Linked DNA regions of Nothobranchius furzeri. The protein of the gene in region 2 purifies or fractionates together with the protein of the main gene of each other region. This does not show direct contact. Links are inferred from orthologs where the notes say so. Each region holds a gene or a part of one and is shown on either strand. Other genes may lie near its edges.

Region 1 (3,262 bases), on a different chromosome or scaffold from region 2:
TTTACTTCTTCCAGTGTGACCTGATGGTACAGAAAAAAAAAACATTAAAATTGACGCCACCGATTACCATTTCTCTGCACACATCAGACCATCATCATCTAGAAAAGCTCACAACCCTGAGAGGACTTGCTGTTAGATTATGAAGATTTATTGCTGGTCTTAAATTTGGAAATACTTTGACAAGTTGAGCAAAATACAGTGAAATATTTTGAATATACTTTATTGACCTAACAAAATGCACAAGGTAGACGTGAGCTAATACTTCTACTGCTGTCCTCTTGTGTAACCAATATTAGGACAGAGTACAAATCACACAGCTTTAACATACAAGCAAGAAGAGACATCAGCAAGGACTTTGGGGAGATAATTTTGTCTTTGCTCTAATAAAAACTGTAATATGCAGTGATCTGCTGTTTTTACTCCATTGGAAGCTTGCAAATTGATTCATAAACACTTTGTAGTGCAAATGGGATCCATTTGAGTTTTAATAGGTATCTAAATAGACTGTTTGGAAATTGCAGGTGAGGTGTGTGTCCAAACTTTTGACTAAAGTAACAAAAGCTGCACAATGTATCACAAAACATCATCACTGTGACTGCTTCAGTGGCACACAAAAACAGCTTGATTCACAGTAGATGGGGACATGTTCATGTGACTGAATCTCCTTAATGCTATTGCTGAAAACACACCAGTGGTGAGTGATGTGTGGTAACAGAGTGAGGAAAATGAGGATTTAGCACAACTGTTATCGTCATCGCAATACCCAACGATATTGTAACAGTGTGATTTACTAAATCCTACAAAAGTATAATCCTGGCCCAAATATCTTCTACAATCGTCATTGGACTTTAAAAATAAAATAGACCAGCTCCAATGAGTGAATCTCAAATAAAGGTGACAACACACGTTTTCCTTCAGAGTAACTGAGGGCACTCAGAAATAACACCTGGATTGGCAGGTCGCAGAGTAAAGGGTCCTGCACAAGTCGAGCAAGTCCTTCTTCAAAAATATCCAGGATCTCAGAGTGAGGGAGAGAATCTTCATCGTCCTCCTCCTCAGCAGCTGCCTCGTTTAGGAAGCTCTCCTTTTTCACCTCCTCATCCTGCACTAGTTGCGCTCCTTCACCTCCTTTGACTACAGCAGAACCTGGACTCTGCTCCTCCTCCATCCGATAATCATCCAGCTATTGGGTACCTTCCGGGTTTCCTGCTAGAAAACGTCGTCTGGATACAATTTACCTGGACAACAATTACAGGTTTACTTCAAAACTGCTGCTAAAAAAGAAGAATTAGAACAGCAAAAGCCCGTATGTAACTGTGTGCAGTACAAACAAACTACCGGAACGGAAATGGACCTTATGTAAAAGGTTCCACTTGATGAAAATAAAAATGAACAGCTGCGTTAACATTTGATAAATACGTATTCTTATCATAAATTAATAACATTCATTTTAATATAGAATTGTTTACATACAATTAGGCATGTTGTTTAAACGATTAGCGACTTCCGGTTGTTTCCGTTCGAGCTGTTTTCATCAGTCGACTTCCGGTTTTCTCTACGCAGCAGATGGTTTCTGGTGAAATCACATTTAGATTCCATTTAGTTGATGGTTTGCGACCAAATTGATTACATTTAAAATGCTACTCTTTTGCCCTACCTGTGGAAACGTTTTGATCGTAGAAGAAGGACAGAAGTGTATGAGGTTCGCGTGTAACACCTGTCCTTACATACACAACATCACAAGAAAGGTAGGAGTCACCCGTAACTAAACCAGGTTTCATCATCTAGTTGGTGTCAGAAACACAAAATATTTGTCGTTAGGTTTGTAAGTTTAAGGTCTTGTTTTATTTCTCTTGAAGGTAAACAACCGAAAGTATCCCAAATTAAAGGAGGTGGATGATGTTCTCGGTGGGGCTGCTGCGTGGGAGAACGTGGATTCAACTGCAGGTAAATAACATTAAAATGACTTCCTGGAGTCTGCATACAAATGTTTAGCATATTCTTTAGTTTTAGTTAAGTAATTAAAGTGTTTTAACGCCTAAAATGAGAAAAGTGTACTTCCAATTTTCAATTATACAAACGGATTAATCCAGGATTTTCAGTTTTTCTTTTTGTTCAAGCCAAACCATTCAACAATCCTGATATCCTGTATCTTTATTTAGGTCATAGTAGAATTGGCTAGATGCTTAATAAACTATTATTTATCTCCTTAAAACAATTCATGATCCTTAAACAGGATTAGTGATTTCTTAAGATTAACATTCTTAAACTAAAACCTGGACATACCAGAGGTATTTGGGGTATAAGATGGTACATACCGGTGTGGCCTCTAAGCTGACATATTCCTTCTCTATCTCTGTACAGAAAAATGTCCCAAGTGTGAGCATCCTCGGGCGTATTTCATGCAGATTCAGACCAGATCTGCTGATGAACCCATGACAACTTTCTACAAATGCTGTAATGCCCAGTGTGGACATCGATGGAGAGACTGAAAGTTTTCTACTTGTAGTTATTTCAAATGTTCAGATGATTTCTGGCCTGGTTTTCCTTTTCTTCTGTATTTATTTGCACCATTTACTTTCCAGTTGTGATAAATGTTCCACATGACAAAGTGTTTACTTCATGATTTTTATTGGTAAAATAGCGCCTGTGTACAGTCACATAAATTGCGTACATAGTTGTACATCAGACATCTGGAGCGATGCAGACCAGCAGTTTTCACAACATGACTAAAGTTCCATTACAATCCTTCACAAAATGTGTTTTTTTGTTTTATATTTTGCACAGATTTTTCAGTCTTGAGGAAAAAAATATGCACAGAGTCGGAGCACATCAATGATTATTACTAAAGGTATAGCCCAGGCAAACTGCGAGAAGCATTAGTGGCTGATGTATCCCACATGCTGAGATGATTCACTGTTAGTGTTCAGAATCACTTTTGCAAAAGGTCTAATTCAACAACTTCATGAAGCTCATTAAAATCTCACTAATCAAATGTATTTCATTTCATCTAAGCGAAGAACCTTCATTTAGGTGAATCCTTAATGGCTTAGTACTCAGTTTTTAAAACCTCTTAAGATCAGCTAAATCTGAAATGGTGCTGCATGAGCCTGACAGAAAAACACACACCAAGATGTCATGCTTTCGTTTTTAAGTGATTAGCTTGTCTATCGCCTTCAGTACACTTGTGGACCATTCCCATCTGTACCGGGTCGGCCCGGGCCGGGTAGCGTAGGTTGTTTACATATCTGGGTGGCCTGGT
Region 2 (3,709 bases):
ACCGCAGCAATTTCCTAATGTTGTGACTTGGCACACATATGGCAATAAAACCTTCTGATTCTGATTCTAAAAAGCTGGTCCTTTGTATGTATGTATTTATTTATTTATTTATTTATTTATTTATTTATTTCACTTTGGTGGAAACCGGCCCTGTTAAATGAGGGAAATTGCAGTGTACCACAGTGACCATCAGGTGGCAGCCTTGTGGTGTGTCACCTTTTAAAATAGGCGCGTCATGAATGTTTGGGTGACGTTCTGACAGACACGTTAGCTCTACGTGAGATGATTTATGTTGTTTGTGCAGATAATAAGCTTAAGACCACGTTCGTTAGCCATGACATACAACCAAATAGAGGGCCAAAAGTACATAAAAAATTTATATCATTAATTGAATGTGTCATTAGTTGGTTGAAATATGAAATAATTATGTATATATGATTTTAATGAATGTGCTATAAATAAAAACATTTATTTGATGTAAAAATTACAGATAATCATTAAACTGTACAATTTTAGTAATTATTACATGGCGGAGCTGGCAGTGAAGTCGAAATGGTCCTCTCTCCAGGATCTCAGTCAGGTCCACCGGTAGAACCCCATGGAAATCCCTGGCCAGTAGACATGATGATTCCTCCAACATGTCCTGGATCGAGCTGGGGGCCTCCTACAGGCAAGACATGCCTGGAACACTTCTCCTGGGAAGCGACCGGAAGAATTCTCATTAATTCATCGCTGGATTCAGCCCCAGTCTTCTCTAGTCAATAAACAGGCCTTGGATTTGGAGGAGTCGGTGTGCATTTTAGGATTTAAAACAAAATAATTAAAAATTTTCATCCATGGCCCATTTAACAATTTATGTATGTAATGATTTATTCGTGAAATAATTTGGCATTAATTTGATTAATTGCACATATAAATAATATTTTTTTACGTGTCAAATTCCTTAAATCTTTAGCACTTGATTATAACAATTCATTAAAGAAAGTGAGGAGAGAGAGAGAATGGGGATTATTCAGCCTTTATTTAACCTACAGTTGGTAGAATTTACAGATCAAACTAAATGGAAAATGACTTAACTCCAGAAGGTGGCAGTGTTGCAACGGTAAACCTTGTTGATGCTTCTGAAACATCAAAAAAAAAAAAAAAAAAAAAAAAAGACAGACCGGAAAGGGAACTCTAACGAGGTTCTTTTGGCCGACCGGAATGTTTAGTAGCGTACCAGCCAGTGCAACGTTCATGTGGATTCGTGTTGGTTACAAAAGTGTAGCCTAGAAACGTTAAAATATTTTACACGGATATATACTACTCTAAAAATTTATCATGTCGGACAACGAAGACAAGTAAGTAAAGAAATCGTTTAAATAATCTGCGTCATTTTGTATAATCGACGTAAGCTAACGGGGATGCTAACTCGATTAGCATCACACGGTATTGTTTATTATGATCCTTGCCTATTCTGTGTATTGCTGCTTACGTCCTGTTTTATTCAGTCTCCCATCCAAGTTTACGTACTTTTGTACTTTTTCAATAAAGCTTGTTAAAAGTTATGAATCACCTAAAGTTTAAGATATCTGATCAAAGGTTTTAACTCCGTAGCTTCGATGATGGAGATTTTGATTATGCAGAGGAGGACGAAGGACTAGACGACCTGGAGAACGTCGAAGATGTGAGTTATTACAGAGACGGATCACCACTTGAGACTTTTATGAAGCTGTCTCCTGGTCTGAGCTTGTTTGTTTTGCTCTGGTGAATAGGAGGATCAGGAGAATGTGCAGATCCTACCTGCAGGAGAAGGCCAGCAGGCCAACCAGAAGAGGATCACCACACCGTATATGACGAAATACGAGCGGGCCAGAGTGCTAGGGACCAGAGCCTTGCAGATAGCGTGAGTGTGTTTACATGAGATCACGGTTAAAGCTGAGTGTGTTTGATCTTTAACTCGTTAAACACATTTTCACTGAGAGTAGGTTTCCTCCCTAAACTTAGTATTTAGAGATGTTCAGTGAAATTAGCTGGGCTCATTTCGGGATTTATGTCAGTAAAAGTTTCGTTTTTCCAAAAGACATTTAACCCTCCCATTGTCCTGATGGGTGTGACCCCGCGAGGAAAGTTGACCATTGAGCAGGGATGATGGTTTATCCCTTGGGTCCATGTGGCAGGGGTGAGAAGTGAGCACCACCTCACCCCTGCCATGTAGACATCAAGGGATAAACCATCCATCCTGCTCAGTGGTCAACTTTCCTGGCGGGGTCACCCATGAAGACAGTGGGAGGGTTAAGTAAAAACTTAAATATGCTAAATAGCGCATTAACACCTAGTATCAACAGAAGGTTATTTAGGTAAATCAGTAAAATCAACTCCTGATTCTGTTTTTGTCTTGAGTTTGGGCTCTCTGAATTCCCACCAGCAGAAATTCCTGGAAACAGGCGGCTGCTTGTGTAAATGCCTCATCTGCTTTCAAAATAAAAGCATGCCAAAGCCCATTTTAAAGCTAAAAGTAGCGTTTGAATCTACATGCAGAATTATTTGTATTTAATTTCCAATGCTGGCTGGATGGCTGCAACTAATGAGTCACTTTTTTCCCAGCTTTAGAGAAATTAGCCCACTATAAACCCCATATTCCCATGTTGCATCAGTCTGCCTGAATAAAAGTGTTTTTCCTGTGCTGGCTTGATTCCAACAGGATGTGTGCTCCTGTCATGGTGGAGCTGGAGGGAGAGACTGACCCTCTGCAGATCGCTATGAAAGAACTTAAGTAAGTCACTTTGACAAGCACCAACTTTTGGCTTTGGTTTTATTTAACGAACAACTTTTTACTTCACTCATCTTTTCTTCTCTTTCTCCAAAAGGGGCAGAAAGATCCCCATCATCATCCGCAGGTACCTTCCTGATGGGAGTTACGAGGACTGGGGCTGTGATGAGCTCATCATAACTGATTAAACATCCTAACCAGCATCACACATCATCATCTCTGGACTTTTAGAGACTCACTAACTTTTACAGAGTTGTACGTTTGCCTGCTGGGATCCGTTTATGAATATGTTGTTTTAATTTCTTTTCACCATTTTAACATCTACTTGAGGAGGAGAGACGAGAACCTTTAGTTAAATACTTTTTATGCATCCGTGAGGAGTCTAAACGGCTTGTTTTGTTTTTCGGAAGAGACGGTGTAAATGAATGTTTTATTGTTAATAAAGTCATTTCTAGAAGCTGCTGTGATGGATTTATGTACAAATCTCTGGTTTAAAACAGAAATGTGTTGCTGCGGTTGTTTCATTTAGAAAATTAAATGTCACCCCTTCTTTCCACAGGAGCCGTCAGCAGCGCGTCATAGCTGCTGATAGGAACCGCTGTGGTCAACAGAACCTTTTCCACCGGAGCCGTCAGCAGCGCGAGTCGGCCGCTTCTCAGGAGCAGCATGTCGCGGCCTTTACGCGCCGGTTCTATTTTCTACACGCGACGCCTCTGAAACGGGTCAAGTTCGACATTTTTGGGGAAGGAAAGACAGGAAATCGGACGCGGAAATGGAGAGAAGCTCCCGAGATTTTCAGAATAAAGAACGTACTGCCTTCCGGTTGCTTTACTTTTAAAAAAAGTTACTAACTGTGCGGCCCCGTGAGAAGTTATCACCTAGCTAGCGGTCTCCTTTGTTTTTCAGGTCCGTATTGGCGATTCTAAAATGGACAGAACATAAAACACAAACCTTTTG
Region 3 (3,959 bases), on a different chromosome or scaffold from region 2:
GATGAACTACAGAAGGACCTGGACCTGGTGATGAACTACAGAAGGACCAGGTGATGAACTACAGAAGGACCAGGTGATGAACTACAGAAGGACCTGGTGATGAACTACAGAAGGACCTGGTGATGAACTACAGAAGGACCTGGACCTGGTGATGAACTACAGAAGGACCTGGACCTGGTGATGAACTACAGAAGGACCGGGTGATGAACTACAGAAGGACCTGGTGATGAACTACAGAAGGACCGGGTGATGAACTACAGAAGGACCGGGTGATGAACTACAGAAGGACCTGGACCTGGTGATGAACTACAGAAGGACCTGGACCTGGTGATGAACTACAGAAGGACCTGGACCTGGTGATGAACTACAGAAGGACCAGGTGATGAACTACAGAAGGACCTGGACCTGGTGATGAACTACAGAAGGACCGGGTGATGAACTACAGAAGGACCTGGTGATGAACTACAGAAGGACCGGGTGATGAACTACAGAAGGACCGGGTGATGAACTACAGAAGGACCGGGTGATGAACTACAGAAGGACCAGGTGATGAACTACAGAAGGACCTGGACCTGGTGATGAACTACAGAAGGACCAGGTGATGAACTACAGAAGGACCTGGTGATGAACTACAGAAGGACCAGGTGATGAACTACAGAAGGACCTGGTGATGAACTACAGAAGGACCAGGTGATGAACTACAGAAGGACCAGGTGATGAACTACAGAAGGACCTGGACCTGGTGATGAACTACAGAAGGACCAGGTGATGAACTACAGAAGGACCAGGTGATGAACTACAGAAGGACCTGGTGATGAACTACAGAAGGACCTGGTGATGAACTACAGAAGGACCTGGACCTGGTGATGAACTACAGAAGGACCTGGACCTGGTGATGAACTACAGAAGGACCGGGTGATGAACTACAGAAGGACCTGGTGATGAACTACAGAAGGACCGGGTGATGAACTACAGAAGGACCGGGTGATGAACTACAGAAGGACCTGGACCTGGTGATGAACTACAGAAGGACCTGGACCTGGTGATGAACTACAGAAGGACCTGGACCTGGTGATGAACTACAGAAGGACCAGGTGATGAACTACAGAAGGACCTGGACCTGGTGATGAACTACAGAAGGACCAGGTGATGAACTACAGAAGGACCTGGTGATGAACTACAGAAGGACCAGGTGATGAACTACAGAATGACCTGATGATGAACTACAGAAGGACCTGGTGATGAACTACAGAAGGACCGGGTGATGAACTACAGAAGGACCTGGTGATGAACTACAGAAGGACCTGGACCTGGTGATGAACTACAGAAGGACCTGGTGATGAACTACAGAAGGACCGGGTGATGAACTACAGAAGGACCTGGTGATGAACTACAGAAGGACCAGGTGATGAACTACAAAAGGACCTGGTGATGAACTACAGAAGGACCTGGTGATGAACTACAGAAGGACCTGGACCTGGTGATGAACTACAGAAGGACCTGGTGATGAACTACAGAAGGACCTGGTGATGAACTACAGAAGGACCGGGTGATGAACTACAGAAGGACCTGGTGATGAACTACAGAAGGACCAGGTGATGAACTACAGAAGGACCAGGTGATGAACTACAGAAGGACCTGGTGATGAACTACAGAAGGACCTGGTGATGAACTACAGAAGGACCTGGACCTGGTGATGAACTACAGAAGGACCTGGACCTGGTGATGAACTACAGAAGAACTGGGTGAGGAACTACAGAAGGACCTGGTGATGAACTACAGAAGGACCGGGTGATGAACTACAGAAGGACCGGGTGATGAACTACAGAAGGACCTGGTGATGAACTACAGAAGGACCTGGTGATGAACTACAGAAGGACCTGGACCTGGTGATGAACTACAGAAGGACCTGGTGATGAACTACAGAAGGACCTGGTGATGAACTACAGAAGGACCTGGTGATGAACTACAGAAGGACCTGGTGATGAACTACAGAAGGACCTGGACCTGGTGATGAACTACAGAAGGACCTGGTGATGAACTACAGAAGGACCTGGTGATGAACTACAGAAGGACCGGGTGATGAACTACAGAAGGACCTGGTGATGAACTACAGAAGGACCAGGTGATGAACTACAGAAGGACCAGGTGATGAACTACAGAAGGACCTGGTGATGAACTACAGAAGGACCTGGTGATGAACTACTGAAGGACCTGGACCTGGTGATGAACTACAGAAGGACCTGGACCTGGTGATGAACTACAGAAGGACCTGGACGTGGTGATGAACTACAGAAGGACCTGGACCTGGTGATGAACTACAGAAGGACCTGGTGATGAACTACAGAAGGACCGGGTGATGAACTACAGAAGGACCGGGTGATGAACTACAGAAGGACCGGGTGATGAACTACAGAAGGACCTGGTGATGAACTATAGAAGGACCTGGTGATGAACTACAGAAGGAGCAGCTCTGATCCGCGACAGGTTTGTTTCGGTTCTTTTCTACAGAGAACGAGTCTGTTCCACCTTCCCGCTGAAAGCGGAACGGGAACAAGCTCCACTGCTGGGTCGAACCGGACCGGAAAATCAACACGGAACGGACGTAACGAGGGTGAAAACGTTGTCCTGTTTCCGGTAAACTCTGGATTGGGATTAAAAACCAACCTTTCCTGGAGGTTTTAGTGGAGCCTCCTCTCCTCCTCCTGCTCTCCACCAGCTCCATGTTTCTTCTGTGTTCACCTTTGACCTGTGACGTTTCTACGGTAGCTGAGGGGGTCAAACCGGAAGGCGCGCTGCATCGGAGATGTAAATGTGGTTTGTTTGGGTCATGAAGGAAAGGTTTGTGTGATGTTTTTATCTGCTGTGATTCCAGAAGCTTCCCGCTCTGTTCGCGTCTCCGACTGAAGCTCCGGCTCGCGGTGGCCTCGCGCGGACCTAGCTTGTTTCAAACGGAAGTGCCTCTCTGTTTCCGGCTGATCCGAGGACAGCAGCGATGGCTCTGGAGCAGCTCAGTGATGTGGTCCAGAGATGTGTGAGTCTCATGTTGTCCTGTCATCCCTCCTGCTGCACACCGGCGTCTCAAAGCCCCAGAGGCTGTTTCTGTCCCTCCACCCATCTGACTCGTGACTTAGTGGCGCGAGCTACGCAGGGCAGTGGAGTCTGGTGTGTCCACCTACCTGTCCACTGATGTTCAGATTGTCCCTCACCACCACCACGTGGCTTTAACAGCTCTAGGGAAGAAGCTGTTCCTCAGCCTGGTGGTTGTGGCCTTGATATTCCTGTACCGCTTCCTCGATGGTGGCGGCATCAACAGTTTGTGACCTGGATGGAAGGGATCAGCAGCGATACGGTTAGCCTTCCTTTGTAGTCGGATGGTATATACTCCAGAGTCCAGATCTGGTAGTGGGCCCCCCACGATCCACTGAGCAGTTTTCACCACCCTGGCCAGGTCTTTTTTGTTCTGGACGATGCAGCTGCCATACCACACCGTCATGCTGGGTGATAGGATGCTCTCAGTCATGGCTATGTGCAGCTTTAGTATCGCTGTGCTAAATGGCCCAGGGAGCCCCAGTGCAGCGTTCAGTGACACAAACCAAAATCTGAGATACAAGTTACCAAACAACAGCAACCAAGCGACGACACCCGAATCGGGCGAGATGAGGGAGATCTGTAGCGTTGCTGGTTCTACTCCAGTCTCCAGCGTGCTACCATCACTCAGGAACAAGACACAGGTGGTTTGAGCTCCTCCACCTCAGACAAAGACGGCCCTCCCTTTTTCTCTGCGTCACTCAGCGCCGAAGCGCTCAGGTGCATGCTGGAGGTCATGGACCAGAGCACCAGAAGGTTACCTTTGCTGAGGTTTTCAGATCCTGTGAGTTCTATGTTCTGGCCCACGTGTGTTTTGCTTTGTTCCGTCGGGTTAGGGTTGGCGCCTTGGCCCTCAGATCAAACCCTTC
Region 4 (4,240 bases), on a different chromosome or scaffold from region 2:
GAAGGTGTGTCCAAAGCTTTGGCCTGTACCGTAGGTGTGAGTGAGCGTGTGGCTGGGTATCTGTCTCCGTGTGTCCCCAAGACTCCACTCAGATGCAAGAAGTTCAGAAAATGAATGAATAATAAATTAGACTAGGATGGATGGATGGATTAAACCTGGTTTGGGTGCAGGTGTGTACTAGTGGACCTTTTCGTACTTACCTACAGATCTTTGTGGAGAACCAAGTGATTTCTCAGCAGAATCACAAGTTCCATCAGGCTGAAGTAACAGAACAATGAAGGAATGAGCAAGGGCAGATAGTTTCATACAAATAGAGGACGGGTTTATGGAATATGCAGAGCAGCGGGTGAGTGTTTACCTTCAAGTGGTTCTGCAGACTATTCTGGTTCTCCACAGTGCTGCCTGAATCCAGTTGAACCACTGAGAAGACCTTGGTCACCACAGAGCTCTGTCTGCCATCACTGTATCAAACACAGTTATGGTCTGATAAACAGGAAGTGATGCAGTGCTACTTTTATTCCTGTCACTCGTTATCAGGTGAGTGTTTACCTGGTGACAGCCACAGCTTTGACAGACACCCGACCAGCAGGTAGCAGGATGGGCTCTGTGTACTTCCTGCTGCTGCCAGCTGCCCCTCTCTGCCCCAGCTCTGGCTTCGACCCATCCAACGTATAGAAGATCAGCACACCTGCAGAGTCTGCACGCACAAACTGTTGTTTAGATCAGCGCTGCAAGGTGGCAAATTTAGCAGAAACCCCGATCAGCCTCGTCGCAAGACAATAATTCAACCACAAAGTATCTTCAGTCAGAAGTTTCTTCAGATCTGCTGCAACACAGAAGATCCGTCCTGTATCCAGCTAGAACCGGATAGAGCTTGCTAGAAAAAGCTGGAACCAGCTAGATCCATGCTGTGTGTGTGTGTTGTGAAATTAACAAAAGAATATGAATGGATGGATAGATAGATGAATGGAGGACAGAAGTGTGTGGTGTGTGTGTGTGTGTGTGTGTGTGTGTGTGGGGGGGGGGGGGGGGGGGGGTACCTGACTGGATGGAGACAGGTGTTGTGGTATCGATGTGCTTCTTGGCTCGATGAGTTGGCAGGTAGATGATGGGAATGATAAGTGGAGGTAAAACAGCTCCTGCTGCCATGGTAACGGATATCAACAAATCAGGAGATCAGGGTTTCTTCTTCTTCAGTTAAAGCAGAAAAGAAAACTTGAGTTTTTTGAGTCCTTGTTTTAAAAGTGCTGCTCACAAACGTCCAGCTAGACCGTCACAACTCACTGAGACGTGATGATATCTGAAAAAACAGGATAGCAATCTAATGTACTAAATAAGAGGTTATAACGTCTCAACACTGATATTAATCAGCTGTCAGCCATTAGACAGCGCCCTCCGCTGGCTACCGGTTTACCGCTCCCGTACCGCACAGTTCTTGTTGTGTAGCGGAACCGTTTTTACGGTTATGAGCTCAAGAATACAGACGCATCGAGCTGGCTGGGAGATGAGACACTTCTGAGAACTGCAGCGTTTATACAACGTCACCATGGCAACAGAGTCTGTCTGAGACGAACGAGTAAGCACAAGTGCCTGCCCCTCGGGGCTGCCGCGAAACTTTCTACAAGTTCACTCTTTAGAAGTTCCTAGAAATGACAGGACTAGCATCTCATGAATGTTTAGAGAAATTTTCTCCGCTTGGATTTATTTGAATGTAGGCACTGGTGTTTCAGTAACTCGTTTTATTTAAATTGTAAAAATAATATAAAAAGTGGGTTCAATTGAAAAACATTAAAAAATGAGAAGTAATTTTGAGGATTAAAATAAGATTTTTTTTGTCTTTCACTTAACCGCTCAACTGAATCTCAATTAATTTATTTTTGAACGGGCAGTTTTCCGGACACCTACCGCTGGGTAAACATCTGTAAGGACCCCTCCAGGGCAATCTTGATACCGCCTGCTCTGAGATTGATTGTGGCGGACCAGAATCACCGCCTTAACGGAGCCGCTGCTCGGACACGAGCCACACGACCGGTTCAGAATGGCGGAGGTGAAGGTGAAGAAGGAGATGAACCAGACGGAACCCGCGGAGGTGGAGAGCAGGTTGGAACGGACCGGATTCTGTGTCCATTCGGTCGATTTGAACGTTTCTCATCCACAATCTCTCACATATCGGTGACAAGTTGAGTTTGGACCCGTTTTCGGGACGGGAACAGGCTCACTCAGACTTCGGCATTCACTTCACTCGTTTATTTGTCAAAAGAAAGTCCCAAAGTAGACTTCATGTCTTCAACGTGGCTGCCAGATTTGCACCATCGTTCTGTTACACCTGTTTGCTGTCTTGCACACGGACAGAGGCATTGCTTTCATACATGTTAAATAAAACATAAGTTTGTTGCAAATAAGAGGAGAATTGGAGGCAGCTGATTGAAGCGAAAACTGCTTTAAAAACAAAAGTTAATCATACGTGAAAAGACGTTCTGATGTGTTTAAACTTGTTTCTGTGACCCAGGATCAAAGATCTGTGTCAGCAGTTTCCTCAAGGTATCACAGACCAGGTGATCCAGAACGACATGCCTCACCTGGAGCCTCAGCAGAGAGCCATGGCCATTAACAAGCTGCTGGCCCTGGTGGGTTCGAGGACCTGACCCATGTCGGTCTCTGTGATGCTGATGGATGATCTGAACTGGTGTTCTATTCTATTATAGGGTCACCTGGACCTTCTCAGGAACAGTTCAGGTCTCCTGTACAGACTAAAGGACTCTCAGATGTCCAGGTAAGACCTGAGATCTGCTCGCTGGCCCCTGTGTGGTTTGGTTCTGCCTCTCTGAAACGCCTTTCTGTGCTTCAGTAAGATGAAAGGCTCAGACAGCCAGGAGAAGCTGGTCTATCAGGTGATTGAAGATGCAGGAAACAAAGGTACCAACCTATTTATGTCTAGAAACATGCAGCTCACCACTAACGGATTAGAACATCACGGCTGTGTAATGTGGCTGCAGGAATCTGGAGCAGAGACATCCGCTTTAAGAGCAACCTCCCTCTGACCGAGATCAACAAGATCCTGAAGAACCTCGAGAGCAAAAAACTCATAAAAGCTGTCAAGTCTGTGGCGGTGAGTGCTGTCGGAACAAAAACGTAGCCGGTTCATAAACCAGAGCATTGCTTTCTAACTAGTGATCAAAGTGTGTGTGTGTGTGTGTGTGTGTGTGTGTGTGTGTGTGTGTGTGTGTGTGTGTGTGTGTGTGTGTGTGTGTGTGTGTGTGTGTGTGTGTGTGTGTGTGTGTGTGTGTAGGCATCAAAGAAGAAGGTTTACATGCTGTACAACCTGCAGCCAGACCGCTCAGTAACAGGTGGGGCCTGGTACAGTGACCAGGACTTTGAGTCAGAGTTTGTGGAAGTTCTGAACCAGCAGTGCTTCAAATTCCTCCAGAGCAAGGTACACACACACACACACACACACACACACACACACACACACGCGTGCACTAAAACAGCAGAGGAGCACAAAAATGGGTGTTCACCTCAGCAACAGCCTGAACTTGTCCACAAATATGGATGACTTCTGCAGTGGAAATCATCCAATGTGGGTTTTTCTGTTGCCAACATCTTGATTTTAATTTTTTTCCCACCTGCCTGCTAAAGCGCAGCTGATGCTCAACATTCCTGACCCTGTTGAGTCTTATTTTTGTACTAAACTGCAATAAAATCAAATATTTAATCAAAGTTATTCAAACAAGTCACCAAATTAATTAGGAATTAAATAAGGAAAACAGGTGAATAAAAAATGTTAGTTACATTAATGTTTTAGAGGATTTATTTAGCAGATTTAAATTAAATAAATTCAAATTTGGAGTAAAAATACAAAAGAGCTGAAAACACAAAAGCAACATCTAAAATGCATCCTGTCTTTTGTTTTTGATTTTTACCAATAATTCTTAAAGAGCAAGTCACCCCCAAATCAGCTTTATTTGCTGATAAACTATATAAATGCATGCCTAATCGTGCTGCAGACACGTGTAGTCAATAGTTTTGCACTTTAGTGCATTTTAGTTCAAATTTAAATTTTCTGCCTAAAACTGTCAGTGTAGTACCGTTGTCAGGTAAAAACTCTTCACTGCATTTGAATTTAAACCTGCCATCGCTATTGGCTAAGAGGTACCCTCAGCTGGTACTAGTGATGGAAGTTCCAGCTCTTTTTAGAGAGCCGGTTCTTTTGGCTCAGCTCACCAAAAAGAGCCGGCTC

Evidence for each region. The genes of interacting proteins can lie anywhere in the genome.
Region 1: the proteins of polr2f (region 2) and polr3k purify together in Homo sapiens (affinity purification with mass spectrometry; 5 studies listed by BioGRID and IntAct, with this or other methods). This does not show direct contact. The link is inferred for Nothobranchius furzeri from reciprocal best matches to the Homo sapiens genes POLR2F and POLR3K.
Region 3: the proteins of polr2f (region 2) and rpap2 purify together in Homo sapiens (affinity purification with mass spectrometry; 4 studies listed by BioGRID and IntAct, with this or other methods). This does not show direct contact. The link is inferred for Nothobranchius furzeri from reciprocal best matches to the Homo sapiens genes POLR2F and RPAP2.
Region 4: the proteins of polr2f (region 2) and polr3f purify together in Homo sapiens (affinity purification with mass spectrometry; 4 studies listed by BioGRID and IntAct, with this or other methods). This does not show direct contact. The link is inferred for Nothobranchius furzeri from reciprocal best matches to the Homo sapiens genes POLR2F and POLR3F.

What each region holds. Positions count from the first base shown.
Region 1 is NC_091745.1:3,876,687-3,879,948, reverse strand, and holds polr3k (DNA-directed RNA polymerase III subunit RPC10), read left to right. Parts: upstream 1-1,494; 5' UTR 1,495-1,637; coding exon 1,638-1,748; intron 1,749-1,859; coding exon 1,860-1,947; intron 1,948-2,364; coding exon 2,365-2,492; 3' UTR 2,493-2,762; downstream 2,763-3,262. Other genes in the region: snrnp25 (U11/U12 small nuclear ribonucleoprotein 25 kDa protein), read right to left, coding at 1-20, 947-1,168. UniProt on the Homo sapiens protein: Core component of RNA polymerase III (Pol III) which synthesizes small non-coding RNAs using the four ribonucleoside triphosphates as substrates. Can mediate Pol I proofreading of the nascent RNA transcript.
Region 2 is NC_091752.1:66,414,096-66,417,804, reverse strand, and holds polr2f (DNA-directed RNA polymerases I, II, and III subunit RPABC2), read left to right. Parts: upstream 1-1,184; 5' UTR 1,185-1,320; coding exon 1,321-1,340; intron 1,341-1,596; coding exon 1,597-1,666; intron 1,667-1,754; coding exon 1,755-1,885; intron 1,886-2,683; coding exon 2,684-2,755; intron 2,756-2,849; coding exon 2,850-2,940; 3' UTR 2,941-3,209; downstream 3,210-3,709. UniProt on the Homo sapiens protein: DNA-dependent RNA polymerase catalyzes the transcription of DNA into RNA using the four ribonucleoside triphosphates as substrates.
Region 3 is NC_091751.1:71,621,142-71,625,100, reverse strand, and holds the start of rpap2 (putative RNA polymerase II subunit B1 CTD phosphatase rpap2), read right to left. Parts: upstream 2,801-3,959; 5' UTR 2,726-2,800; coding exon 2,668-2,725; exon of another isoform or gene 2,635-2,667; intron 1-2,634. Other genes in the region: glmna (glomulin, FKBP associated protein a), read left to right, coding at 2,996-3,034.
Region 4 is NC_091746.1:29,575,664-29,579,903, reverse strand, and holds the start of polr3f (DNA-directed RNA polymerase III subunit RPC6), read left to right. Parts: upstream 1-1,440; 5' UTR 1,441-1,576; intron 1,577-1,889; 5' UTR 1,890-2,038; coding exon 2,039-2,100; intron 2,101-2,509; coding exon 2,510-2,627; intron 2,628-2,705; coding exon 2,706-2,773; intron 2,774-2,848; coding exon 2,849-2,916; intron 2,917-2,996; coding exon 2,997-3,109; intron 3,110-3,289; coding exon 3,290-3,433; intron 3,434-4,240. Other genes in the region: dzank1 (double zinc ribbon and ankyrin repeat-containing protein 1), read right to left, coding at 201-258, 359-461, 550-697, 1,041-1,149. UniProt on the Homo sapiens protein: DNA-dependent RNA polymerase catalyzes the transcription of DNA into RNA using the four ribonucleoside triphosphates as substrates.